7 linked regions of the Canis lupus familiaris genome follow. The protein of the gene in region 7 purifies or fractionates together with the protein of the main gene of each other region. This does not show direct contact. Links are inferred from orthologs where the notes say so. Each region holds a gene or a part of one and is shown on either strand. Other genes may lie near its edges.

What was found.
Region 1: the proteins of NAPA (region 7) and VTI1A purify together in Homo sapiens (affinity purification with mass spectrometry; 3 studies listed by BioGRID and IntAct, with this or other methods). This does not show direct contact. The link is inferred for Canis lupus familiaris from reciprocal best matches to the Homo sapiens genes NAPA and VTI1A.
Region 2: the proteins of NAPA (region 7) and STX12 purify together in Homo sapiens (affinity purification with mass spectrometry; 4 studies listed by BioGRID and IntAct, counting the BioPlex papers as one, with this or other methods). This does not show direct contact. The link is inferred for Canis lupus familiaris from reciprocal best matches to the Homo sapiens genes NAPA and STX12.
Region 3: the proteins of NAPA (region 7) and STX7 purify together in Homo sapiens (affinity purification with mass spectrometry; 4 studies listed by BioGRID and IntAct, counting the BioPlex papers as one, with this or other methods). This does not show direct contact. The link is inferred for Canis lupus familiaris from reciprocal best matches to the Homo sapiens genes NAPA and STX7.
Region 4: the proteins of NAPA (region 7) and BNIP1 purify together in Homo sapiens (affinity purification with mass spectrometry; 3 studies listed by BioGRID and IntAct, with this or other methods). This does not show direct contact. The link is inferred for Canis lupus familiaris from reciprocal best matches to the Homo sapiens genes NAPA and BNIP1.
Region 5: the proteins of NAPA (region 7) and SNAP29 purify together in Homo sapiens (affinity purification with mass spectrometry; 3 studies listed by BioGRID and IntAct, with this or other methods). This does not show direct contact. The link is inferred for Canis lupus familiaris from reciprocal best matches to the Homo sapiens genes NAPA and SNAP29.
Region 6: the proteins of NAPA (region 7) and STX4 purify together in Homo sapiens (affinity purification with mass spectrometry; 4 studies listed by BioGRID and IntAct, with this or other methods). This does not show direct contact. The link is inferred for Canis lupus familiaris from reciprocal best matches to the Homo sapiens genes NAPA and STX4.

The regions. Positions count from the first base shown.
Region 1 is NC_049249.1:23,792,230-23,796,499, forward strand, and holds the start of VTI1A (vesicle transport through interaction with t-SNAREs homolog 1A), read left to right. Parts: upstream 1-1,470; 5' UTR 1,471-1,650; coding exon 1,651-1,744; intron 1,745-4,270. UniProt on the Homo sapiens protein: V-SNARE that mediates vesicle transport pathways through interactions with t-SNAREs on the target membrane. These interactions are proposed to mediate aspects of the specificity of vesicle trafficking and to promote fusion of the lipid bilayers.
Region 2 is NC_049223.1:71,947,104-71,950,603, reverse strand, and holds part of STX12 (syntaxin-12), read left to right. Parts: intron 1-536; coding exon 537-580; intron 581-2,089; coding exon 2,090-2,195; intron 2,196-3,500. UniProt on the Homo sapiens protein: SNARE promoting fusion of transport vesicles with target membranes. Together with SNARE STX6, promotes movement of vesicles from endosomes to the cell membrane, and may therefore function in the endocytic recycling pathway.
Region 3 is NC_049222.1:25,688,564-25,692,063, forward strand, and holds part of STX7 (syntaxin-7), read right to left. Parts: intron 2,437-3,500; coding exon 2,343-2,436; intron 1,663-2,342; coding exon 1,525-1,662; intron 726-1,524; coding exon 673-725; intron 112-672; coding exon 15-111; intron 1-14. UniProt on the Homo sapiens protein: May be involved in protein trafficking from the plasma membrane to the early endosome (EE) as well as in homotypic fusion of endocytic organelles. Mediates the endocytic trafficking from early endosomes to late endosomes and lysosomes.
Region 4 is NC_049225.1:40,187,212-40,191,473, forward strand, and holds the start of BNIP1 (vesicle transport protein SEC20), read right to left. Parts: upstream 2,801-4,262; 5' UTR 2,732-2,800; coding exon 2,648-2,731; intron 182-2,647; coding exon 89-181; intron 1-88. UniProt on the Homo sapiens protein: As part of a SNARE complex may be involved in endoplasmic reticulum membranes fusion and be required for the maintenance of endoplasmic reticulum organization. Also plays a role in apoptosis.
Region 5 is NC_049247.1:30,795,901-30,800,147, forward strand, and holds the start of SNAP29 (synaptosomal-associated protein 29), read right to left. Parts: upstream 2,801-4,247; 5' UTR 2,623-2,800; coding exon 2,386-2,622; intron 1-2,385. UniProt on the Homo sapiens protein: SNAREs, soluble N-ethylmaleimide-sensitive factor-attachment protein receptors, are essential proteins for fusion of cellular membranes.
Region 6 is NC_049227.1:17,349,086-17,353,141, forward strand, and holds the start of STX4 (syntaxin-4), read right to left. Parts: upstream 2,801-4,056; 5' UTR 2,452-2,800; coding exon 2,422-2,451; intron 2,234-2,421; coding exon 2,132-2,233; intron 2,021-2,131; coding exon 1,921-2,020; intron 1,785-1,920; coding exon 1,710-1,784; intron 1,414-1,709; coding exon 1,343-1,413; intron 1-1,342. UniProt on the Homo sapiens protein: Plasma membrane t-SNARE that mediates docking of transport vesicles. Necessary for the translocation of SLC2A4 from intracellular vesicles to the plasma membrane.
Region 7 is NC_049222.1:109,227,202-109,230,701, reverse strand, and holds part of NAPA (alpha-soluble NSF attachment protein), read right to left. Parts: intron 2,096-3,500; coding exon 1,979-2,095; intron 1-1,978. UniProt on the Homo sapiens protein: Required for vesicular transport between the endoplasmic reticulum and the Golgi apparatus. Together with GNA12 promotes CDH5 localization to plasma membrane.

The sequences.
Region 1 (4,270 bases), on a different chromosome or scaffold from region 7:
ACAAGCGCACTGCTATGGGACGAGCGCCTCATCAAACGCCAAAGAGAATTATTTTTATCTGATCCAATGTAGGGCTCGAGTCTGAACGGTACATAAACTGGATACTTGATTCCAAAACAGTTGTTTTTATGCCTTTGTCTCCAATTTATCAGGGGAACAGTGCTTGTCCGGCGTTCAGCGAGTGGTGGGAGGAGACCCGAGAGTTTTAGAGCTGGAGCAGAGGGCTTGAGGGTTGATGGAATCAATGGCTTCCTGCATCGAAGAAGAAGAAATCTGGCCCGGAGAGGAGGCTACGTGCTTGCACCAAGCTCACAAGTAACAGCTGAACCTACACTACGAACCAAGTCGCTGAAATCCTTTTACGAAGTTTCAAACAGCCTCCAACAACCGAGGCTCGATTCGCCAGGTAGGAGGAGCCCGACACGGTCTACACGTTGGCCTGGGCTCGCGCCAAAACACCCAACTTAAGGGTCTATTTGGGCCGAAGGTTAAGAGGCGAGCCAGTGAAAGCAAAGACAGAGTGAAAGGAGGGGAGGGGACGGGCCTCGAGGAACACAGGAGGATGAACACGAAAGAAAATATTTGGGGGAAAAGAAAGAAAAACAAAACAAAACAAAACACGATGAGGAAGTGCCTCCGGAGCGAGGGACAGGAAAGGCAGGATGCAGGGCGCCGGAAGACCCGTGGAAGGGTGTGTCGGGCTGGGCAGCCGTGGATCGGCGGGAGGATCTCGGCTGCAGGGTCATAAGGGGCTTCGCGCAACAGATGCCACGGCTCGAGCCTCAATTTCCCGCCCGCGCCGCAGAACAGAGCGCTTCCAGGTTCTCGCTCGGGGACGAGCATCCCGCCCAGCGTGGTTGGTTTCAACATTCTGGAGCTTCTGGGCTCACTCGGGGGGGGGGGGGGCGGGGCGAATCACCGCCCGAATCATGATTCCATCCCTTGCCTGGACTCCCACCTCTCAGCCTGGTCCTCGGTACCCGCTCCTCGGCCATCGCATTTCCGGGGCGGCCTGGGCTCACCCGGAACGGGTCTTCTCCTCCGCCGACAACCCCGTCACGGGAAAGTCAGGCCCGCGCAAGCAGTAAAGCAGATCTCGGTTGTCCGGGGCTGCAGCGCGGAGCCCGCCGCGCCGCCAGCGCGTCTCCCCAGCCGGCGCTCCGGCCGCTGCTCTCCCGCTCCCGCCCAGTGCGCGGTCCCCGCGACAGCCACTTCCGGGAGGTTCGCCGCATCAGACTTCCCTCGGGAAGCAAGTTCCTGCGACTTAGAGCTCTATTTTCAGGAGATAGAAGGGCCAAAAAAAAAAAAAAAAGCTTCCAGTGACCCCCCCCCCCCAAGAATCCTCAGGTTTCCGAAAGCTTCTTGTTGGGGGAGGGGGGGCAGTAATAGAAGCGCTATTCTTTCGCGAATTTTTAAATCTTGAAGCCCGAGCGGACAAAAAACAACGCACCCAAGGCAAATTCCGGGGCGGGTGGGGGGGACTGTGATTGCGACGAACAACCAGGAAGCGGCCGGGTTGGGAGCTGTCCCCGGTTCTCCCCGCTCTGCTCCCGAGGCCGCCTCCCGGGGTCCTGACACCGCGTTCCTCTGTCCCGCGTGGCCCCTGCCACGACCTGGGCTCCGGCCCGGGGCCGTCACTCCGGAGCCGCCATGTCATCCGACTTCGAAGGCTACGAGCAGGACTTCGCGGTGCTCACGGCAGAGATCACCGGCAAGATTGCGAGGGTCCCCCGACTCCCACCTGGTGAGAGCCCTGACCCGGCGGGCGGGGGTGGCCCCGGGGGCGCCGAGGCTCGGGGGCGGGGCGGGGGAGCGTCTCTAAGGCGCCAGGTGGTGCCGGGGCCCTCGCGGAGCGACGCAGCTGCACTCGGCGCAGGGTTAAGGGACCGTCCGGGCTGGCTCGTGGAGCGCCGGGACGCCCCGTCCCTTGCACTACCTTGGGCACGTTTCTCGGAGTCCTCGGTTTTCGTGTTGTTTTTTTGTCTCGTTTGTGAAAGGGAGATGCGAGTTTTCAAACGGAGCGAGTGGATGCATCAAGATCATGGGTCCAAAAAAAAAAAAAAAATTGAGAAAACAACAACAACAACAACAACAACAACATGGGTCTGCGATACACAGTCCTGTTGTTTTGTTAGCAATGATAGTATCCCAGGTGGCAGAACAGGCCGGTTAAGAGCCACGGTGCCAGGGTTCGGATCCCAGCTCTGTCACTTAAAAGTCGGGGCACTTAGGAAAGTTTCTTAATTAAAAAAAAAAAAAAAAAAAAAAAAAAAAAAAAAAAACAAAGGAAAGTTTGTTAAACCTCTCTCAGCTTTCTCCTTCTTGGTCAGTAGGGGAGAGCTAGCCGTACGTCTCTCTCGTGGAGTTGTGGAGATTAAATGATTTAACATACGAAAAGCCCTGTTTTGGTGCAAGCTGCTATTAGTATCTTTCACACACCCCTCCACCCCACTTCTTATTTCTCATCCTTCTTGGGAGACCGTAACCCAATTTTCTGTAACACCTGGTACAGTTTTTCTCGCTTTAGAAATTCCACGTATCCTACCTATAAGTGTTCTTGATTTTGTTTTTGTGGGTTTTTAAATTTTTTTGATATTTTATTTATTTATTTATTTATTATTTATTTATTTATTTATTTATTTATTAATTAGAGCTATGGGCACAGGGGCAAAGGACAGAGGGAGAAGGAGAAGACTCACCCCCCGAGCAGGGAGCCGCCTGCCAAAGGGCTCCATCCCAGGACCTGGGATCATGACCTGAGTTGAAGGCAGACACTTAACCAGCTGAGCCACCCAGGCTCCCCTTGTTTTTGTGTTTTAGCATGACTTACTTTCCATGCTCAACTGTCAACTTGGCATTTACCTAGAAAGGGCTCAGAAAAAATGTTAAAGTAAATGAACCGATGAATATGATATTTGGTAATTTTTTTTTGTTATGTGAGACACTGGTTTAGGATTTATCTTTCCCTAAATACAGATTTAACTTGAGTGGTTAGCTACAGATAGGATTACTACTTTTAGCTTAGTTTTGTTAAGGAAATTGAACCATCGTCTGGATTTGGGCCTACCTGGCTCTGGGGTGTAGTGCGTAGAAAAGGGGATGCTCACTGATCTGTGAACTGGTGGGCAGCTTCCTGTTTCCCACCTCCTTAGTCAATCCTTGATGTCAGCAGTAATCTCTGCAGGACCTAAGTTGACATTCCTATTTCCCTTTCCCTACTTCCCCCAAACGTGCGTGTTTATAAATAATTTTCTTCCTTTATTTGTTTTTCTTTCCCCTTCCCTCACCTATTTTCTATTAATAGGGACATTTGCTTGAAACCAGGATCTCTGAACTTACACCCCACTCATCTCCTGAAGTCCCAGTTAGTTCTGGAGAGGTGGATGATGTCTTAAAGAGGTTTATGAGCCCAAGTGAGGGAACAGGAGGAGAAAACCAAGGTAGCATATATCACCGAGCTCTGCTGCCTCAGAGATTTTTGTGGAGAAAATAGCTGATGGCCTCATCACTTCATGATACATCACCTCGCCTCTTCTCTTCAGTTCTGCCTTTCTCCACTGCCCAAGACCATCTTGATTTTTATTATCCTTGTTGCTGGAGACTACTTCCTTTGACTTGAGTCCCAGAGTTTCAGGACTTGTGATTTTAGTTGGATTTTTGTTCATTTTTAATTGTAACAGTTTTAAAAGAGAAGCATTTTCTATTTGGGCTAATAGATTTTTGTACTGGGAAGATGTTTTATATAAAGTAACAAAGTCATCCATGGGTGCAAAGTTGTAAAACCTGTTTCTAAGAAAACAGATTTTGTTACAATTGATTTTTTTTTCTTGTCTTTATGTTTTAATGTAACTATTCTTACTATATAGAAGGAAACCTTTAAGTGCCTTAAAAATAAAGGCTTGACTTGGCCTTGCATATGGTATAATGTAAAGCCCAAACATAGGAGCTCCAGTGGAATTGAAAGAAGACTGTTTAGCTGGCAATGGAAAAATGCTTACTGATTTGACTAATTGAATGACAGTAATTCTTTAAAAATGTAGTAGTTTCCCTGTTAATAGTTACTTATGCTTGCTCCCTTTATAATCTGTTTCTAATTGATAAATAGAAAAGGATGAATGAAAAGTATATCCATGTCGTTATGCATTTCAGATATAGGTCTGTGGACTAACAATATGTACCACTATTTAAAAAGTATAATTAAAAGTAATTATAATCTCTTTCTGAATAGCATTAGTGGTTGATCTAGAGGAGATAAACTATAATTTACTTG
Region 2 (3,500 bases), on a different chromosome or scaffold from region 7:
TTTGAAATTTTCTTCGTTTTGCTTGTTTTTTTTTTATTACTGCTATTTTAAGGAAGGAAAGACTTTAATGGGAATAGATTGCTCTTTTAACTTTTTTTAATACATGCATTAGACTGATTTTTGAAATGAGTCTGCCACTTTAGTGCCTGATATGCCATAAATGTCCATTTTTTTTAATGTTTACATATTCTGAAAATTTATTTCCTTGCAAGTTTTCAACTCTTTCCCTTATTTTACCCCCCTGAAGATTATAAAATAAGTTATCACTATTACTGTTGTTTACTCCTCTCTCCGATCCGTGTTATCTCCATCCTATTCAGTAAGGTTACCATTCTGAGCCCAGATTTGATTTCAACTACTTCACACCCATTTTCTAGTTGAGACAGATTGCCAGAGCCCTGTGTCATCTTACAGATCCTGTTGGAGCCAAGGGAATGTTGCTTCTTTATACTGTAGCGAAAGGAAGCCATTGTTTTATGTGTCTGTCTGTGGCATGTTTCTGGATAACAGCAGCAATAATGCCATCTGCTTTCTAGGCGGAGGAGAGGCAAAGAGAGGAGCAGCTCGTCTCATTTGATGGGTAAGGAATTTTCCGTACAACCTGCTGGCTAGTTGAGATGGGATTCTATACTTTCTACTTACTTCTAATTTTCAAAATCATGTGGAAAAGAATGAAAAATAAAGGGAGACCTGGGGTGGGTGACTTATAATCCACCAAATAAAATAAAAGTCAAAACCTTGGGCTTTTCCAAGATATTTGAATATGGAAGGAACAATTTCAAGGTGAGTAAAAAAGCCAGGGAAATCCCCGATGTCTTTGTGTTGGGGTGAGAGCTTGCCTCACTAGGAATAAGTACAAATACACAAATCTACAGATGAAGATTTTACCTCTAATTCAGAAGTAAGTTTTTCAAAGTTCTTGGATCTCTGTTTACCATATCCATCCAAAATGGAGGCAACTCGTTCTTTTAGGAGTAGTACAAGACGAAGCAAACAGTTTGCATCTGAAAGACATCTTCTTTCTTAATTTCTCCAAACTGAATTAACTAATTCCATAGAAATGTATTGGTGATATTAATTCAGAATGTAAATTGCTTTATCAAAGATACGTATCTCTCTCCCCACTACACTGTGAGCACCTCAAAGGGGTGCCTGCAGGGTGCTGTCTTACTCCGTTTTTGTTTTTTGTTTTTGTTTTTAAAGATTTTATTTATTCATTCATAAGAGAGACAGAGAGAGAGAGGCAGAGACATAGGCAGAGGGAGAAGCAGGCTCCCTGTGGGGAACCCAATGTGGGACTCGATCCCAGACTCCAGGATCATTTGACCTGAGCCAAAGGCAGAGGCTCAACCACTGAGCCGCCAAGGCACCCTCTTAACTCCGTTTTGTATCTCCAGCGCATGGAGGAAATACTGTGGAGATGATGTCTGCTTTATGAACATTGTTGGGAAAATGCTTAATACTGAATTTTCAAAGTGTTGTCTAGCATCATAGCATTTCTTCTAAATATGGTACCTGAAAGAAGAGTTATAACATTTCAGTAGCTTTTCATTTTAGTTTTCTCTTAAGAGGCATTTAACCGAAAGCATACACCCTCAAGGAATGTTCTGAAAACCAGAAGGTGTAAATCTGTTAGACTAATTGGAGATGCATTGACAGGTCGCTTAGCCTGCTCTCCTCCACCCATTTAGTACCCAAGAGACCATCTCAGCTTGCACTTTGAGAGTGCTCTAGAAGAGGATGGACCAGTATGTTTCATTGACTTCAAGTCTCTGTTTTCCTTGTCTAGCAAACCCTAGCAAGATTGCAGAGTGCACCCCTGACTGGAAAACAGCAAGGAGTCCCATCCCTCATAATCCTGCTGTATCTCAGTTTTGCTCAGGGAAGCTGAGACTTTGTTTTCTAGGTATTATCAACTCTTTGCCTCCAGTTATGAAAACTGTGACCCTCAAGTACTTTGTATTGTTACCAGAGGAAGTGGAGCCATGTAATGTCCTTGGATAAGTCCTGCTGGTAGTAGAAATGTTGTAAAGTGTCTCATGCACACTTTACAGAGGAAGAATCAACTAGTGTGCTTGTCTCCTTGCAGCCATGAGGAGTGGAACCAGATGCAGAGCCAGGAGGATGAGGTGGCCATCACTGAACAGGATCTGGAACTTATTAAAGAGAGAGAAACAGCCATTCGGCAGCTGGAGGTGAGAGCCAGGTTGTGTCTTTTGACTCCATGTATCTACACTCTAATCCACCTGGATTTTCTCTCATTTATTATGAAAAGCATGAAATGAATTCTTATTGATTTGCATATTATATCTTAATGTAATTATGGTGAATATGAACTACTCTTATGATGGTACTGGTCACGGTGCCTGAGAAGACTCAAATCCTTTCCTCAGTTACCATATCTTACATGGTTTCTGTGAGAATATGCATGAAGAACAGAGTAAGGCAAACAAATATTTTATTCCTCATTAAGACTTTGACCCCATGGCACCTGGGTAGCTCAGTTAGATAAGCATCTGTCTTTGGCTCAGGTCATGATCCCAGAGTCCTAGGATGGAGCCCCTCATTGAGCTCCCTGCTCAGCAGGGGGTCTGCTTCTCCCTTTCCCTCTGCCCCGCACCCTATTCATGCTCACTCTCCCCAGCTCTCTCTCTCTCTCTCAGATAAATAAATAAAATCTTTGTTTTTTAAGATTGTATTTATTTATTCATGAGAGACATAGAGAGAGGCAGAGGGAGAAGCAGGCTCCATGCAGGGAGCCTGATGTGGGACTCAACCCCGGCACTCCAGGATCATGCCCTGAGCTGAAGGCAGACTCACATAACCGTTGAGCCACCCAGGCATCTCAATAAGTAAAATCTTAAAAAAAAAAAGACCTCCCCCCACCCAGACCTCAATGCCAACTTCAGGTGGGATTCTATGGAGAGAGCCCCTTTGCTTTGTCTGAATAGCTCAGAATAAAGGCAGGCCAAAAAGTTGGCTTAATTTTTGTGCATCCCAAAGTCGAATCCCAAGTTGTGGATATGACTTTAGAGCAGAGAAACAGGAACAGTTTTTGAGGTGAGGGTTGAGGGAAAGGTCTTGAGGATTTTCTAACCTGATTTTCCAACCTTTAACTTTATATAATGACTAGTATATTCTTAAACCTGAAGAATTTAATCCTCCATGCAGCTAGAATGTCATCCTTGAGGGCAGTGAGGAGAAGGGGCTTGCAAAGGGGAGAAACTTGGAGTTCCTCAATGACCTTCATCTGTGGTAGTGGCTCTGAACTCTGAAAATGCCTTAGAGTCACTTAGAGATTTATTTTCCAGATACTCAGCTGTTCTCCCTCATTCATCAACTGTTATTTTAGGCTCTGTGAAATTCCTATTTTTCTAGGCTAGAAATGGACGAATAGCCATAAGTTTTTTTTTCTTAAGATTTTATTTATTTATTCCTGAGAGAGACACACACACACAGAGAGGCAGAGACACAGGCAGAGGGAGAAGGAGGCTCCATGT
Region 3 (3,500 bases), about 84 Mb from region 7:
CACGGCAAACTTACTTCAAGTTGCCTAATGGAAGATTCTCTCTCATGAATAAGGCGGAGGTCATCTTCTGTAATTTCTTCCTCCTGCACCTGTACCTGAGGTTGAGCTTGGCTAACAGAACAAAACATCGGAAAAAAAAAAGAATGGTATTAAAATAATGGAAGTAATGGGATTTCTTTTCTTATTTAAGAAGCACAAAATAGTGTGTCTTTTCTTCAACGTCAGAGAACTGCTTCAATTTCTCATTTGTATTCTTAAGTTTTAAGATTATAACAGAAATATTAATCAAATTTTATTCATGTTTCATTTCATTGGTATTATTTTTTTAGAGTTATTAATTATTGGACTCTACATTTGGCAACCGGGTATTTCTTCTTGGTTGACCTAAATGTCACATGAGGAAATAAAAAAAATCTCCATCAAATAATAATTAAGTCAATAAAATTTACTTGTATAAACATTTACAAATTACTGCCGAATTGGAATATTTTATATATATATGCTTTATAAATGATTACTTTGAAAAAATTTTTCAAATTTATTGCTTTGTATTTATAACTTAGGATAGTCATGACATAATAAACTGAAAGCTTTCATTCTGTTCCAGGAACCATAAGGTAGAAAACACATTTGAAAAATCATCTTCTCATCTGTATGGTTTATATTTCTTACCTTTCCCAGGAAACGAGATTCCTTTCCTTTGAGCTGTCTTCAGGAAAACCACCCTGGATAATTCAGTAATAGAATGCATTGAGAAGTGGCAAAGAAAAAACACCATCATAACACTCACATTTTCTCTTATGATAATCTAAATGGGTTTATGTACACATGTGTATGTCTATGTACAGAAAGAGAAATGTTTTTGTTCTAACTTTTTAGGTCAAGTGCTTCAAATAACAATAAAATTATTTCCCTAAGCTGACAAGGAAGGAATTCATTAAATATTCTCAAGGGCCAAATAATCAATATTATATGATTAAAATGTAATATAGTCCAGGAAACTCTACATTAAGGAATAAGGAAACAACTGGCAATGGTTTTTGAGGAAATTTAAAATGAGATAAACTCAAAATTCCACTAAAAGTTATCCCTTTGTTTATTTTCTTCAGGCTTATATTCATTTTCAGTATTCATGCAATTGATTTACTCTGTTCCTTTCCATCATCTTCATATAACCCAGGAGTAAAGCATTTCCTACATTGGCCCAGATGCAAGGTTGACAGCCCCTAGTACAAACCAAAGTGGGAATATCATTCAGGATCTGAGCCCTAGTCTTTTCTGACAAAATGTTCCCATATTTTTATATAGTAATCTGTAATCTTTGGCTCCCTGACATGGACAAAATAACTACAGCAATATATAACTGTCATCCTTCTTAAAACTGAGCAGAAAAACCTGAAAATAAATATTCAAATATTGACTTCCAAGACAGTCAGTCACAGATCCTTACGACTTAAGAAAACGCTGATGCAGGCCTTCAAGGGAACAGCACATGCACTTTATTACGCCCTGTTCAATACTCACAGATACTCTAGAGCTGGCTCTCACTCGAGCAACAAACTCTTTCTCTTTTTCAGCGGCTTGCCTCTGGACCTTTTGGAAGTTTGTCAGTGACGTTGTGAATTCAGCTACTAAGCGATCCTTCTGTATTTTCCTTTGACGCTAGAGGAAACGGAGAAACCTACTAGAATCAAGGTATAAGGTTCTATAGAATTCACCAAGGTTGTTTCGCCACGAGTTGGCTCTTTATTCTGAAGTTTCCACTCACTCTCCAATTTCCTACTGTTTACATCTAAGCAACATTTTGACAATATATTAAAGTACTATGTATATGTACTATCTTGAGGCAAAAGGTCCATAATGTTGGATTTCTCACCCAAAATTTTCATCTTAAAAACTGGGTCATGATTTTGAGGTTATTTTGAAGTAGTAGTTCTTTTGTTTTCTTTTTAGGAAAATAAAACCTTGTACTCTTACCTAACTATAACTTCCACTAAATGATAAGCAAGGAAATAAACATGCGCCCCTAGGAAACCTCACATCATGAATGTGTGCGTGTCACATGGAGTCAGTCCTGGAAGGCCAGGAAACAATTACTCAGGGGGCATTTTCTGAGCACTTGCTTAATTATGGGTCAGGGCAACTGCATGGAAATAATTTTTGCTTTATTGAACCACAGGATACTACCAGGGCAATTAAATATAGTTTTGTGTTCTGTGAACTAATCTCAAATACAATTTTCCCCCTTCATTTCCTTTCTAGCATAAAAGTTCAAAGACCCTATAATGCATGTAATTTCTTTCACATTCAATACATCAACAACATGTCTTAAGGCTTGATACCTGTTCACTGGGGGTGGTGGGCAGAGATCCAAACTCTTTAATGTACTTATCTGTTTCTTTGGCAAGTTGATTAGTATACTGCTGCTTCTGTTGCCTAAAGTAAAAAAAACACACATTATAGAACCAAAGAACAAAGAGATTTCTTTAAGTTACAACTCTGCCAGTTGAATCAATCCTTATAAATAGTTTGATAAAAATCACTATTTTATAGAGTGGCTCTAAATTTTATCTATGAAAACAAAAATTTCAGGGCACCTATCTGGCTGAGTCAGTAGAGCACATGACTCTAAATCTGAGGGTTGTGAGTTCAAGCCCCACATTGGGTGTGGAGCAAGTTTAAAAAAAAAAAAAATCCAGATTCTATTTTTTGATAAATACTGGTCAAATATTACATGGAAAGTTCTTTACTCACACAGGGCAACCAAGCTTTGAGAAATAAATCTCAGCAGCCATTTAGAAGGGAAGATGACTCAAATCAAAGCCAGACTATGGGATGTCTGATGTTTTAGATATGGAGGTGTTGGGTGGTGAGAGCCTTTTGTCTGCATCCCACTGTTGGGAGATCATTTTAATAAATGAAGAGGATTTGTCGCCAGACTTTGTCTTGTTCTCAGGAGTACATCTAGCCTCTCTTCTTTCTCTATCTGGACATTTATATCCTTATAGATTTTTAAAAAAAAAGGTGGGGGGAGAGGTAATCAATATACATTTACTATTGTTTTTATATTTACTATTTTTAAGTTTGCTTTGGAAAGAATAGCATTTCTCTGTAAACAGAAAGAACACAATAAGAAGTAAATCCTATCAGTATCTGTATCTATCTTTTTTAGCTAGCTTATAAAGTAAAAAGTCAGATTTTTAACTCAAGAACTTGACTCTAAAAAAAAAGCTTAATCTAATGTTATGCTTTACAAATTACAACATCAGTACTTTTCAGTATATTATCTCTCCTTTTAAACACTTATTTAGTTATACTTGGAATCCTTTAAAATAATGAGATACTGTATAGGAGTATTTTTAGATATAGATACCTGTATTTGACTGATAAGGAAGAATTACAACCTACTTCTATCTATTTTCCAAATCTTCTACCTTTATTATTCCTTTAAAATCTTTAGAAATTGTAATTTAGCTAAATTTCTGAAAAGAAGGCTTACT
Region 4 (4,262 bases), on a different chromosome or scaffold from region 7:
ACAGCTAGCTCTCAAGCAGAGGTTACTCCCAGGATAGAGCCTCCTCATTGTCACCCATTCTCCCCATCTCAGTTCTACAGCTACTCACCTGTATTCTGTGCCGCAACTGCTGAAACTTCTCTTTCACTTTAGTATTTAGTTCAGTAAGTGCACTTAATGGTCCTGAACAATCTCGAATATCCTAGGAGACAGTGAAGAGGTGAAGGGGCCTTTCTTGAGGCAAATGACATGAAATGAAACCACCTGTACAGGGGGAGTTGGCTTGAACCACCACTAGGCTGGCCTACTGTCTGTAATTCATCCTGATCTTTGCTGTTTACCTCTGCAACACGAGCAAAAACATTATCGTTTACATTTCTCTCATAACCTCTTTAATTTTGAGCAGGTACTATAATAGCATAAAAAGAAACACAACTGTCCTATTAGTTCCTAAAGTTTAACAAAATGCCACCTAGTCAGTATAAAAGGCTTAAAGCAGATCATATGTCCAACAAGAATGGACATCCAAAAGTGATACAACTTGAAAATCAGGATGCTCAATTCCTGGCATCATATGGCAAGGTTAACTTCGATCATCTATTACAAATCACAGTGTTTACAGACCTGTTCAAGGGTAGATTTAGAATTTGTTTCTGCGCCGGGACACCTGCACCCCGATGTTTATAGCAGCAATGGCCACGATAGCCAAACTGTGGAAGGAGCCTCGGTGTCCAACGAAAGATGAATGGATAAACAAGATGTGGTTTATGTATACAATGGAATATTACTCAGCTATTAGAAATGACAAATACCCACCATTTGCTTCAACGTGGATGGAACTGGAGGGTATCATGCTGAGTGAAGTAAGCCAGTCGGAGAAGGACAAACATTATATGTTCTCATTCATTTGGGGAATATAAATAATAGTGAAAGGGAATATAAGGGAAGGGGGAAGAAATGTGTGGGAAATATCAGAAAGGGAGACAGAACGTAAAGACTGCTAACTCTGGGAAACGAACTAGGGGTGTTGGAAGGGGAGGAGGGCGGGGGGTGGGAGTGAATGGGTGACGGGCACTGGGGGTTATTCTGTATGTTAGTAAATTGAACACCAATAAAAAATAAAAAAATAAAAAAATAAAAAGAATTTGTTTCTGGACATTCAAAATTACTGGGGTCAGATTTTAGAGCAGGCTCTAGAGCCAAAATATGTAGATGCAAACTCCAGCTGCAGCAATTTATTGGCTGGATAACAAAAAGTCACTCTGGTTCTCTGTGCCTCACTTTTCTCATCACATTACCTACCACATAGACCAGGTACGTATGCAAAGTATGTTGCAAAGGAGCTGGAACACAGTAAGAGCACAGTATATCTAGGTATATCATGAGAACCCCAATATCAGAGAGTACAGAAGGGCTTAAGCAATTTAGATTATGTGAAAAGGCAATCTTTTTATATGAATCCTAAATTTATTTTCTTAAAGTCAGCCCAGAAGTTTTGCAATATGTATGAATAAGTGTAGTTGAAGAAGTTTAACAGTTTGCATCAAGTTTTCTCATCTGTTTTCTGGCTTACTCATTAAATCACACTTCCTTGTACCACGATAAAGCACTACTTTGGTTTATTCTGCATCTGGTCTCCATGGAGAGTCCTACTTTCCTTCGCTTTTTGCCACAGCTAGTTGCAAAATCTGAGTCTACATCTAATGCTTAGCAACATTTTTGGAAACGGAGGAAATAACTTGCCTAAAGCCAAAGTTTAGGGGATCCCTGGGTGGCTCAGCGATTTAGCGCCTGCCTTGGGCCCAGGGAGACCCAGGCTCGAGTCCCGCGTCGGGCTCCCTGCATGGAGCCTGCTTCTCCCTCTGCCTGTGTCTCTGCCTCTCTCTCTCTCTGTCATGAATAAATAAATAAAACCTTAAAAAAAATAAAACTACTAATAAAGAGTTTAAAACTCTTGGTTTCTTTTTGCTAAATTCAAGGAACCATTTCTACTTTCCTCTTGCCTAGGCCAAGCAGTTATTGCTCTGCTGCCTTCTACCCTTAAGTGGCTCAAGGCAAGGAGTGTCCGGTACCCCATCTGTTAAACCGAGTTTCAGAGACCCCCTAAGTCCCTCGTCTAGGCCGACTTTCCCTGTCCGGTCGCAGTCTTGCCACCACCTGCCTTCTGATTCAGGCCTTGGCATTTTAGCCTTTTTCCTCATTTACAAAGTCGCAGCTACTATCTAGGTGGCCGGGGGCCTCCCGCACGACGGGGCCCTTGGTGCCCTGGGGCACCTCCGCCGGGGCGGCGGCCAGGGGAGGGCGGGGCTCGCGGCCCTCGGGGCGCCACCGAGCGCGGCGGAGGGAGGCGTGAGAAGGCGGGGCCCGTCGGGGCGACAGGTCGTCCCAGTCGACAAGTGTGCGGGGGCGACCCATGTGGCCACAGACCGGAAGCCTGGCCAGGGACGAGGGGACGCGGGAGCGTTCAGAGGAGGGCAAGACAACAGCGCGCGGAGGGAGGATCAACGCCAACGGCCCAGGAGACGGGACCAGAGGGGGCCGCCAGGGGGTAGCGGGCCGTGGGGCGGGACCAGCGACCTCCCAGACTTGAGACCGCCGAGCTCACAGGAGGCCGGTGGAGCCTGGGTTCAGGGCTACAGGGCCCGGCAGCCGTCCCGGGAATTAGTACCTGGATAAGCGCCTTCACCTCCAGGTCGAACTTGACGATCTCTTGGTTACAGATACGGACGTGGACATCTTGGGGAGCCGCCATGTTGAGGACGCCGGCTACGGGCCGCGGCGGGGCCCAAATTAAACTCGTTTTTGCGTCACCTTCGTTCCGCGTCGGGGCTTTCGGCAGCGCCCTCTAGGGACCAACCTGAGGCGAGCGAGGGTCGAGGCGAGGAGGCCGGAGGACTCGCCTCTGGTGTGGTGGTGGAAGGGAGGTGGGCGGGGGGGGACTGGGCAACACTGCTGGGGGGCACTGGATGGGATGAGCACTGGGTGGTACGCTAGATGTTGGCAAATTGAACTCCAATAAAAATAAATTAAAAAAAAAGAAAAGAAAAGAAGAAGAAGAGAGGGAGTATCGAGAGCGTTTTAACATTGGCCTCTCCCCATCTTTTACCTAAAAGGCATTCTAATGACTACATGTTTTTTGCAGAAGAGAGAGAGAGAGAAAAAAAAAAAGGAAAGTATCAATTGGGATGTCTCTGGAAGGTGGAATTAACAATTTTTTATATCTCTTTAAATTTCCTTATATTTTTCATATGTTGTACAGTGAATATAATTGTGGAGCAAATGAAAAGATGGTAAATGTTATTACTGCTTTTCACGTGTGGAATTCAAGACAGGCCTCTTCCAGCACATGGTCCAAGGGTTCTAAAATCACAACTGATCAAGTCACTTCCCCACCTCCACCTCTTTTGTAGCTCCTGGCACGTGCCTTTTGTGTACAGTTGGATTTATTAAAGCCTACCTTGCTGGAGTAGTTTTGATGGAAATAATTAAGAGCAGACCCTCAACGAACAGTGGCTCCTGCCTTTATTATCAAATAGTCCAAGGCCATCAGCCACCTCACTCCATCGCTCTCCTGGATTCCTCAAGCTGTTTTTGGATCTGTAGCTTTGGAATGTGCTGTTCCCTTTTCTTAGAATGCTTTCCCCCTCTTGCTCCCACCCCATGTGCTTCTGTTCACATCAGCAAGCATAAATTGTTAAGACCTGAATGCCTAGCTGTGTTTTTCTCTTAATCCTTCAACCAGACTTGAAATAGGTAATACCCCAGTTTTACAGATCAGTAGATGGACCAAGAGTAGATCAAAGCGAAATAAATCAAAACTGAACGTCCCTGCCCCAAAGTTACATAACTTGAAAGTGGCAGAGCCTTCACTAAAAGCCACGTCTTCCCTCAAAAACCAAATATGGCCCCTTGGGTATAGTGTCGTACACAGGGGGCTATGTGCTTGCCTATCTGTGTTTCTCCACTGCTCCACACACCATCCGTTAAGGCGTTCATCACCCCACTGCACCTAATAGGCAATGTATTGCAGGCCTTAGAGTCAACCCTGCTTGAATCCTGCTGGAGGACCCACTTCACAGCTCTGCCCCTCAGAATTCTGAGGCTAACTGGTAGAGTCACAGAGGTGGAGGATTAAATGAGGTAGTACATGAAAAGCACCAAGCACAGTGTAGTCATGTGGCATGTGTTTAAGAACTCAATGTGCATTAGCTGCTATGACATTACTGACATTTTTTGGAGCACTTCCTATGTGCCAGGCACTTTGTACTAAGTTCTTAATGTGT
Region 5 (4,247 bases), on a different chromosome or scaffold from region 7:
ATGATATCTTCCCAATCTAATATTTGTACATGCCTAACCTTCTATAAGTACCTATCATGTTTTCACACAGCTCAGTGCCAGGTCTCTAAGCTGGGAGGTTAGCAGGTGACTTGGGTCTGATGGGAGCCACACTGTACACTGAGTGGCAGGAAGAGCTCAGCAACCCCAGCCCAGTTCCCACCCCCATTCTGACTGGAATCAAAGACTGATTCAAAGGTACTCTGGAGGGGCAGCTGGGTGGCTCAACGGTTTAGAGCCACCTTCAGCCCAGGACCTGATCCTGGGGACCCGGGATAGAGTCCCGCATCAGGCTCCCTGCATGGAGCCTGCTTTACCCTCTGCCTGTGTCTCTGTCCCTCTCTCTCTCTCTCTCTCTCTCTCTGTCTCTCATGAATAAATAAATAAAATCTTAAAAACAAAAACAAACAAACAAAAAACAAAGGTAGTCTGGAGAGTACAGAGTGGGGTGGGGAGGGGGTGCTGACCATCCCAGCCTCCTGGGGCCTCTGATGATTGGGAACTGACTCAATCCCAGAAAAATTCAGTGTCACCATACTTATGACAGTGCCTGTCACCTGCCTAGTCTTGATCATACCGTACTTCTCAGAGCAACACCAACTTGGCCCAGTCCAAGCCTCCCAGGCCTGAGCTGCTGTTCTGCACCGGTGTTCTCATCGTGCCCCTTGAACAGAAAGGGCCTCTGGGTGCAACGTAGGGGGAGGGGAGTTGTCACCACAATCCATGTGAAACCACTCACTTTTATTATTTTTTTTGACTCTTCTTCCCTCTGAGGGACAGACTTCCCCTGACCACGAAAGGCTCCTAAGCTGCCTCCTGCGTCCCTTCTTTGAACATATCCTGTGCATCACTTCCCCACTGGAGCCCAGGAACTCTGGTGGTGGGCCAGTGTCTTTGCACTGCTCCTCTCTGCCCTATGAACAACCTTCTTACCTTTCTTCCTTTCCCTTCTCCTCACTCCTGTCTAAATCTTAGCCTTAAAAGCCAGATTTGAGTTTATCCTAGGCCATGACACCCTACTTTTATCATTCTGATTTCCCATTTCATTTGCTGTTTCTTTTTCTATGATTTTATTTATTTATTCATGAGAGAAACAGGGAAAGAGAAAGAGAAAGAGGCAGAGACACAGGCAGAGGGAGAAGCAGGCTCCCTGTGGGGAGCCCGATGTGGGACTCAATACCAGGATCACGCCCTGAGCCGAAGGCAGACGCTCAACCACTGAGCCACTCAGAGGCGTCCCTGTTCTGTTTCCAGAGATGTCCCTTCAAACAGTTCTTTTTTTTTTTCCCTTCAAACAGTTCTTACTTGGCTTCCTTGGACCTGGGACCCCTCCAGTACTCCAGTAACTCCTCTACTACTTACTTCCCCTAAGATCTTAGGTAATCCTCCCAAACCTTAATCAACACTTGCCATTCAGGAATCCAGTAGATATGAGCTCTAAGAACTACAGCTAAACTTCCTTAAGGAAGCCAAAGACAGGAAAATGGGCCAATGAGGGATACTGTAACAGGAGAGGTGCAGAAGGAAAATAGCCAAGAAAGTGGCAAGGGGGGAAATGACCCAGGTGACTATTTGAGAAATTAATCCACATATTCAAACTGCCCAAGACTGGAAGTGATCAGGTCAGAAAGAACTCTGCCAGAGAAAAGAGTTACAAAGAGACCCATGGAAGAAAACAACACTTCAGCTTCCACTAAGTTTCAAAGCTACAAATGCTGTAGATTAACGTTAGCTGAGCTAATCGATAACCTACTATTACATTTTTAAGAACTTAAATAAAAATGCCCATACCAAACCATTTCATTAGTAGGCTGAGGAAAAAATGTGGTGCCTAAGAAAGAACCATTCTCACTCAGGGTCCCTGAAATCTCCCACGGGTGGAAAGACGAACTGACAAAGGTGAAGTGGAGAAACGGATAGTCACAGATCACACACTGTCTGGGACATCTCCCTTTGGATTTGGTTAAGTAAATGTAAGGCCCTAGCCTCGATCACACTTGCGCTACGGCTTACTGAGCAGCTGCCCACAGACCTCATCACCTCTGCGGGTGAGGCGGAGCAGTGGTCAGCGCTAGGGGAGGACCTAAGGCTCATCTGCTCCGACGCCTTCCACAGCAGCACCCACTCTGGGTCACTCGAGGAGTAATGGTGAAACCCCTGGATCTGGAATCCTGCGCAGGCAATTATATGAAAGAACCTGACGCTCAATCTCTCTAGCCCGAGCTCTGCTGTAACTAAGAAAGATTACTGGGGGCAAACTGCCTCTTTGGAGTATTCAAGATACCCACCTCTTGGTACGACTAAAGTTCCTTGAGCGCGTGTGACAATTCAGAGCGGCCGGGCCGCCCTGTTCTGCTGCAGACTCACCTCGGAAGACGCGACGCCGACCTTCTCGGACTCGTACATGAGGGACAGGGACCTCTCGGTGCTGGCGGCTGTGGCCTGGGCCACGCGCATCACCTCCTGCCGCAGATACTGCTGCCTGTCCGCGGGCGTGCAGGGCCCGTCGGCGACGTCGCGGTCGTCCTTCCACCGGGCCGGCCGGGCGCCCTCATCCTCCGCATCGTCGTCGAACGGGTTGTAGCTCTTGGGGTAGGCCGACATGGTGCCGGCGCTCGTCTCGGTCTGGGCAGGAGGAGGAGGTGTGCGGCCAAGGCGGGGAACGGCCTTTCTGGGCCCGCAGGGGTCCAGGCGGTCCTCCCGGGACCCTCGGGGAGCGCCCACAGCGCGGCAGCCCCGCGGTTCCGCCGCTCGCCGTCCAGCGCCGCGCGCCCCCGCCCCACCCGCCCAGGTCGCGGAGCGAGCTCCTTCCGCCTGGCGTGCGCGGGAAGCCCCGCCTCCGGAGCTGACCATCTTGCCCGGCGGCTTGGGGGGGGCCACGCCCCGTGCGCGCGGCCGCGGCCGACCGCTCGGCTTCTCTCTCCCCTCCCGCGGTGGGACCGCCCCGCGGCCACGCCCCACTCGGTGTCGACAACAGAGGTCACGTGGCGGGGAAGGCGGATGCCGCCGCGCCTGCGCCGTGGGCTGTGGCGCTCGCAGGCCGGGTGCGAGGAGCCCGCGGGCAGCGCCGCCGCGCGCGCGATGATGGCGGCTGCCGCGGCCCGGGGAGGGGGCGGCGGCAGCTCCGGCGGCGGCGGCGGCTCCAGCTCCGGCTCCAGCTCCTCGAGGGGCTTCTACTTCAACACGGTCCTGTCGTTGGCCCGCTCCCTGGCCGTGCAGAGACCGGCGTCTTTGGAGAAGGTAGCCTTGGCCGCCCGGGCCTCGGGCTGACAGGAGAAGGGGGTTCGGGGCGGCAAAGCGGGTGATCGGCGGGGCGAGGGTCTGTGGGAGGCTGAACAGGGCTCGCCAGCTGCCTGTGACAGGACGGGGGGTGGTGAGGAGGCCCGTGGGTGGAGATCGCCGGTGAAGAGAGAGGTGGGTAACGGGGTGGTTTGGGCAAGGAGTGCGCAGGGCAGACGGGGACTTGGCGGGTCGGTGGCGCGAGAGGGACCTGAGCCACAGGCCGGGGTTTGAGCCAAGGAGGCACCTTGTGACATCGCAGGGGCGGGGGCGGCAGGCAGGGAGAAGCTGTGGGAAGAGCAAAGGACCAGAGTCGAACCCTAGGGGCTCAGCTCCCGACTTCCTCTGCTGCTTATTCCGTGACCTTGGAGAGATGCTGTTCTCGTAAAGGGGGGTGGGGGGCGAGGAGGGGGGTGCTTACCTGCTTTGCCCGCCTCACGCTGCTGTGAAGGGAGGATGAAACAGTACATCTGAAAGAGCTTCTGAAATGCAGATCGGCGCGTTGTCTTTCTGTGAGTCTAGAGGGGGCATTAGACTGGTAGGAGATGGTGTTTTGAAGAGGGATGGTGGCAGCGAGGAGGAATGAAGTGTCAGCGGGCAGAGGATTGAATTCAGGATTGCTTCAGAGGAGGAAGGCGAATTGATGCCGGGGGGACTTTCTTTGCCTCGGGAGAAAGGTGAAAGGAAACTCAAAGGTGTGCCTCCACTGGTGGAAAGAACCCAGATTTTAGAGTCAGACCTGTTTGTTCCCCGCACTTTCTCTCTTGGTCCTCCCATAATATAACTTGGGCAAGTTATTTCAACTCTGAGAGCCTGTTTCCTTATGGGTGAAATGCAGTGGTTCTTGAGGAGTAAACGAATTCAAGCATAAAGGGCCTTCCGTAGAGTGGGTGAGCAGTAAACATCAGCTTTCCTCCCCAACCAACCTGTGATGAGATTAATTATGGGGT
Region 6 (4,056 bases), on a different chromosome or scaffold from region 7:
TTTATTTATTTATTCACAGAGGCCTTTAAATCTTTATTCCAATGTCACCTTCTGAATGAAGTTTTCTCTACCTTATTAAAACTGCAACCTGCCTTCTCCCGTCACTCTCAATCCTCTTCTCCTCAGTTTTTCCCTTAATACTTAACTACCGTCTGGGCAGCCCGGGTGGCTCAGTGGTTTGGCGCCGCCTTTGGCCCAGGGTGTGATCCTGGGGACCTGGGATCGAGTCCCATGTTGGGCTCCCTGCATGGAGCCTGCTTCTCCCTCTGCCTGTGTTTCTGCCTTTCTCTCTCTGTCTCTTATGAATAAATAAATTAAAAAAAACCCTACGTTCTAAAATAGTGGGCATATTTATTATGGTGTGTGTCTCGCCCCACCAGAACATAAGTTCCATGAAGATTGGGCTCTTTGGTTCACTGCTGCATCCTAAACAGCTAGAAAAGGGCCTAGCACACAGTAGGCACTCAATAAATACCTTTGAATGCTTGCTGAACACCAGCCTTGCAGCTTAGACTAAAGGTATGCCTGGAGGTCAGCCCATTGCCCAGCTCTTACAGGTCCGGCTGGACCCTCAGCCTCTCACACCAATGACTACCACAGTTTCCCCCTGAAACATCCTCTTATCTTGTCCATTCTCTTGCTTCCTTCAATGTGCTCATTCCTTGGAGTTCCTTCCTTAGAGACATATTTGCTCTCCTGCCTTCACCACATCATTGTAAGATACCCAAACTGCCCTATCTTCAATCCAGGGTACTTTCTGGGCCCACCTACACCAACTCTGACCTCCAGGAACTCCAAATTACTCCTCCCTGGGCACCCAGACAAGGGCAGTTAGATCGCCTCAAATCTCCTCACTAAGATGTTGATTCAGTGACCTTCTCCCTCCAGGGAAGTTCCTCTTCTTGATTTCTTGAATTCTGCCCATGGGGCAGAGGATGACCCTGTCATATGGGCAGGAAAGCTCCCTGTCATTTATGACCTTTCCCTCTTCTTCCCTGGGCGGGGTTATTAGCTACCACACCCTACCTGAGTAATGTCTTTGTCATCTAGTCAAGCTTGACTCACCATGTTGGTTTCTAGAAAGCATGCCTTCCACAACCAAGCCCAGATCACATCTGGGGATTCAGCAACTTCTCATGAATGGAGAAGGCGACAGGATGTTAGGTGGATTGGGAGTCAGGAGACTTTGGGTGAGATTTTTTTTCTCTCAGCCTCAGTTTCCCCACTTGAAAATCATTAGGTTGGACTTGATGATCTCTAAGGGCCCTTTCCCCTTACTTTTGCCACCTAATGGTCTATGAAACCCTGCAAAATGTCTTAGTTCTGGGAATAATAAACCCACCTGGGTTTTTCTCATCCTCGTGTTGACTGAGTTATAATTCTCATCAGCTTCTTCATTCTGGGGCTCTATGGCTGTGGGAAGACACAAGGGGATTGGTGGGGAAGGAGATTTGATCTGTGTGGCTTCAGAAAATCATGTGGGAACCAGGACACAGGGCCAGGGCCATACCCCATCCATACAATAGAGAGGTGCTTATCTCCACAGAATTATTTTGGGAATTATATTTTATCATAAATGACTAATTATGAGCCTCTGACGGTAGCTCAAGTGTATTTTTCTTTGCAATACTGAGCCACACAGTCCCCAGATATACCAGGAGCTGGGCAGGACCACAGGGAAGGGTCTGTCTGAGGTCCTAGGGGCTCACCCTTCAGCTGTGCTCGGATCTCCCTCCCCAGCTGTTTGATCTCCTCACGCAGGTTCTGCAGGTCCTGCTTCATACCTGAAGAAGAGAAAGCCATGACTCCCAGACAGCGGCTCCTACCTCAAACCAACCTGCCTGGCCACCACCTGCACGGAACTACAATCCCCACAATCCCTCTGGCTGAGCATGCGTTTGCACTTGGGGTTTCACTCACTCTCCTCGGGAAGGGGCGTGGCCAGGATGGTGACCTGCTGCTTCTCCAACTCCCGGACTTTATTCTCCAGCTTGACAATAGTCTGTCGAATTGTCCGGACCTGGGGAAGGTGACCGAGAGGGCTGAGGGAGATGGGGGATACTCCGGACCGCGCTGCTCCTCGGATCATCCAGCCCCCTCATGAAGACAGGCGGAGACCCCAGCCTCTTACCTTTTGGAAGAACTCCTCGTCCGGGCTCCCCAGCCGTGCCGTGCCCGGGTGTACCACCAGCGCGACCCGCTCCTTGTCCTCATCGTCCGAACTGTCATCCCCCTGCCACGGCCGGGGTGGTCACTGGCATCACTTCCCTGCGGTTGCTCTCTCCCCGCAGGACTCACAGACTTCCGGGTCTTTCCTTCCTAGCCCTCAGCCACCCCTCCCTGTCCCGAAGACCGGGAGTCCTGTATGCCAGCCAGACCCCAGCCCGTCCGCCCACCCCCAGCCCTGCAGCCCCCTCTCACCTGTCTCAGTTCGTGGGTCCGGTCGCGCATGGCGGCCCGAGCTCCCTCTTCCCGGCGCCGGAGCCCCGAGGGCCTCGAGACTAAGTTTGGAACTCCCGTACCCCACTCACACTCTGACACTGACACTTCCCTCCGCCCTCACCCTGCGGACCCCCGGGCCCCCCCACGAGCCACCAGAGGCTCCGTCCCGGGCACCATCCACAGTCAGTGGGAAGCAGCCGACCCCGGGGACCCCCCAAGATTCCACAGGTTGGAATTCCCTTTTCTTCCCCCCCTCCCGTCCCCGTAGCCTCGGCCCCGCCCCTCTGGGATGATCGGGGCATGCGCACGGGGTCGCGTCTCTTCCTCGCCGGAGGGAGCCTGAGGTCGGAAGCTGCGGCGCCCCGAACGGAAGCAAAGCTGCCAGGACGTGAGAACCCGCCCCCTTCGCCGGAACTGTCGCATCTACCAACGGAAATCTAGTTGCCAGACCGGGTGGGAGTGCGTCATTGATACGTAATCTCAGAGGCCCTGCATCTCACATCACCCCATGGTGCCCCCCCCACGTCACATGACCAGCCCGGTCCCACCCTCGCGGACCTCGGAACGTGACACTTTGATTGTCACGTGCCCCGGCGCTGTCAACTCCGTCTCTGGAGCACCTTTCTCCCCACGACGTCTCCGGGACCCTGGCGCCCAAGCTACGCCCCTCCAGCCTTCGCGAGGCGGGGCGGGGGCTGCTGACTACCCCCAGAGACCGTTTGAGGCAGTGGGTGGTAGGACCCTCGCTGAATTCGGCTTCATTTTCTTTTGGGTCCAGGGACGTGGGCAGACGGAGAACTTAGAATTCGGGGCTGTCAGCATCATGGGACCTTGAGATTCAGAAAATAATAAGATCCAGCGTCAGAGAATTGCAGGGTTTTGTAGGCAGAGAATCTGGGGGTGGAAAGTGACCTCACCCAAGGCAGAAATCTCTCCTCCCGCATCCTCCTGGCGCAGCCTCTGACAGGTGGGCGGCTGGCGCCCTGCATGAACACTGCAGTTCCGCCGCACTCACCACCTTCCGAGCATAAGACCATTTCAGGGCAACTAAAGCTGAGAAAAGTGTCTGTATTACATTGAGGAGTCTGCCACTTAACATCTAACTCCCTCCCTCCCTAGCATCTGGGTCTACCCTCTGAAGCCCGCAAAAAAATCTGCACACATTCCCCATTATAGTGGACCGTGGGCTCTTGAGGTCAGGGCGCCGCAGTCTTGTTCTTACCTGAATCCCCAGGGCCTATTTCAGTACCTATCACATATGGGCCCTCAATAAATATCTGTGGACAGAACTTTAACCTTTCATGTATCTGAAGATAAAGCTTGTCTTTTGGGCTTCAGCCTCTCACGGTGACACTGCCCTAGCCCACTAGATGGTCATTCATTCAATGGATATCCATTTATTGGGCACTTATTATGGCCAGAGACTGTTGTAGGGGTCGGAGATAAATCAAGGCCTAACTGACAAAAACCTTTCACTTGTGAAACTTACATTATGTGAGAGCAGTCTCCAAGGCCACAAAGTGAGTCTCAGCATAGCCAGAATAAAAATCAGGTCTCCTGGATCCCAGGACTCTTTCCAGAGAACTTACATGAAGGTTCAAGCAAAAGAAAGAC
Region 7 (3,500 bases):
GCCTGAGGTTACAGGGGAACGGGCTCCATCTAGACTTAGGAGATCACGCGTAGCCCCATGCCCCACAAACCATTACTAGGGTGGGGAGGCTGTGAGGCGGCAGTGCTGGGACACTGCTCCCGTGCCCCTCCCTGCCAGAACCTGGCACTCCAGCTAAGGTACTCACTCTGGGCTGGGCCCAAATTAGGCTCCCCTCCTCATCACTGCTTCTCTTGCTCCCTGAAAGGTAATTCCCATCCCAAACACACCCTCCCTGTGCCTCAGCTCCCAGGGCAATAAACCGTGCTTGCTGATCCCTGGAGAAACCAAGCTGGCCTCTGGGCCCCACAATGGCCATGGCCATATCAGCAGACATAACTGCTGCTGCTTTCACTGGCATGGGACACCTCTGCCATGCTCTGCACTTCCTGAGGCCAGGCATGGGGCTGCGGCCCTTCCCAAGGCCCCAGCATCCAACACACCCCCTGCAGAGCCTTGCCTCCAGCTGAAAAAGCTCAGATCAAAAGCCACTGAAGGACCTATAGACGCAACATCACAGGCACAACATCACGGCGGCGTCGGGTGGAGGTCCATCCAAGGGAAGTGCTGGGGTTTTTGTTTAAAGAGCAAAGGGCGCCATGCACGTGTCATGAAGCCTGACGCTCAACTCCCGCCCCAGAAACGAGTCCTTCCAGTCACTCTGGAGCAGCAGCTGAACATCACAGATGCTACGGTGGCATCTCCAGGAAGCGCCAGTTCCCCAGGGACCAAAGGGAAAGCTGGTTGGCAGGGGGAGGGGGGACAGACATCCCTGGGTAACTTGAGGCTGCCCTGAGTCCTCATCATCACATGACCCACCTGGTCACAGGGCCTCCCCTCTGGCTCTTGGTGAGCCTGGGCCCGCCATGTGACCCTCAGGCCAACCTCTGTGAGATACTCAGCTCCAGGGCAGTGACTGGTCAAGTCTGTGGACACAGAAAAGCTATCTGGTCTGCAGAGATCAAATCCCTGACTGGGAACTACGTGTCCCTGGTAGTAGTAACAGATCTGCCAACAATTCCCCAGCACTGGGGCGGGAACTAGGGTTCACCAAGCCTTACAAACACCTCTGGACCTGGGTGTAAACTGTCCTCTTGGGAAGGGCAGCCCCTTTATTTCAAGATGAGGCATCTCCTTTTTTCTTTTTTTCTTAAAACATTCACCTATTCCCTATTCTCTCACAAGAGAATAGTAACAATAGATTGTCTCCTAAAAAAAATGTCTTGGCTTGCTAAAATTAAGAAAGTCAGCAACCTGTGTCTGGCACAGAGATTTAAAAAAAAAAAAAAAAAAAAAGAAAATCCCAGCTCCCTGAAATCCAAAATTCTGGTACCCACTGGGCTGTGCCTCTGCTTCAGGACGAGCCCAGTGGGACAAATGGTTTTCTCACCATGAGTCAGTCCCAAACTGGGCTTCTATCCCCAACACTTCCTCATTTTAAGTAACTTGTTCTCTGGCAACTCTATCCAGGGCTCTGTTCTGATTCTCCACCACCCCCCCCCCCCCCCCAGGGTGTAGGGAAGCCAGGTTAGGATAATTTCCGCTCCTTTTTCGGCAGCAACTCCTACCTGGCTGGTCTCAGAACCCCCTCCCACCCCCTTCTGCATGTTAATTCTGACAACAGAACAGATTTTCGTCTCTCCTTGGCATGCGGTGGGTCTGCAATGTAACTCCCACTCCCAAATGCTCCCAGGCTCCAGGAGGGAAGCCATCAGCTGCGCACACAAAGTAGGGGTTGGGGGGGGGGAGGCGGCAGAGGCTTGGAGCGGGGATGCAAATGCCAACCGGAAGGGAGCCAATTCTGAAGTTCAAGCACAAGCGTCTCCCTGCCAGCCTCTGGTATGCTTTGGGCCCCTGGAGAAAACCGGAGCCTCGCGGAAACCCGAAGCCTTCCCTGAAGAGGGTTCAGTCATGTCTGTGCTGGGGGCAGCCAGGGCCCCAGTGACCCTTGGAGGCTCACCTTGGGGGTCAGCTTTCTTGAAGGCATTGCCGGCATCCACAAAGCAGGTGGCCGCGTCATGTTTGCTCTGGAGCTGCAGGTGCAGCTGGGCTGCCTGGCAGAAAGCGTTTCCGGCAGCTGGAACAGAAAACAGTGAGCTCAGCCTGAGTGGGGCTCCGCTTGTCAGGAGCCATGCAGACGCTGCCCTGGGGGTGGCTCTCTAGAATGCAGTGGGGCCTGAGTGAGGAAGTGGCTGGCCTGGGTGAGCTGAGGTGAAGGCCTCAACCTCAGGCTTCCTGGCCCCTGGACTGAGACTTCTGAAGACCCGTGAGGTAGACTAGGGAGGGAGGAGGAAGCAGCATTGGGTAGAAGCCCCTGAGCCCCATGTATATATAGAGAGAGCCAGGCTGAGGTCAGCTAAAATCCCATTGCCCTGATCCCAGCCTTTGCCAGTTTTCCAGGGCCACCCACTTCTAAAGATCCAAGGAGAAGGCAGACTGGGCCAAGAGATCTGCAGGATATATAAACTATCCCCAGCTAACCCCAGCAGTGGCCCCAGGGGACAGCAGGAACTCCAGTGTATGGGGACAAGCGCCCACGGGCAGAGGCTGGTGGAGACCACATGGGAAGCCTTTTCTGTCCTTTGCCTAGCTGCATGCTGTTATCCTGCACTGGCCACAAGCCACTGGGGTCACCAGTCTGCCTCCCATACTGCCTTGCAGCTTGCAGGAGACTATGGCATCTCTCCTCTTCTAAGGCTGGAGAGCAGGGATAGGACTGTGCTAACTGGAAGCTCCAACACCCACTTCCGGCTCAGCCAGTCTCCACCTGAGGTTACGCTTCCCTTCATCCTACTCCAGCTGAATTGGGATTACAGAATTCCTAAACTGGAAGGGGACCAGAGCGCCTGGCCCCATCCTGTAACTTCAGAGGAGTAGGGAAGACAAAGCAGCCCAGTTTCCATTATGTCTGATTTATTTTTTAAGGGCTCAAACGTGACAGCATAATTTCCAGAAAAGCAGCATCACTGGAGAAAAATGAGAAAACAGCCCAGCACTTTTGTTTGAATGGCTGGGGCCTGGGGAAGTGACAAATTTTAGGGGCAAAGTGACATCTACGTGATGAAGAAATATTCTTTTTCTGCTGGCACCTTATTAGTTTGGGAGCATGAAATTACACATGGTGTGTGGCTTTGTGTACAATGTATTTGGTGACAGCTCAGGGAAAACCCTTCCAATTTCCAGGAAACTAAAAGCATTCTCAGAAAACGGGGAGAATCTGTCTCACCCTGGGCTTCCAGACTGCCTCCAGGGTCCCATTCCAGGCTTTGTCTCCTGGGTAAGAAAGTTCCTCCTTGGATCCCAAACCTGTCTCTGCTCGATTTCCTTGATCCAATCTTGCTGATGTGCAAGGCAGGGTAACATAATGAGATCAGCCTCGATGAGCTCTGATGGGCTAGATTTTCAAAGCTCTCCTCTAGATCTTCCAGCCTCTCTGATCTCTAGGAGCCCATCCCTGCCTGCCCACCTCTCCTTGGTGGAGC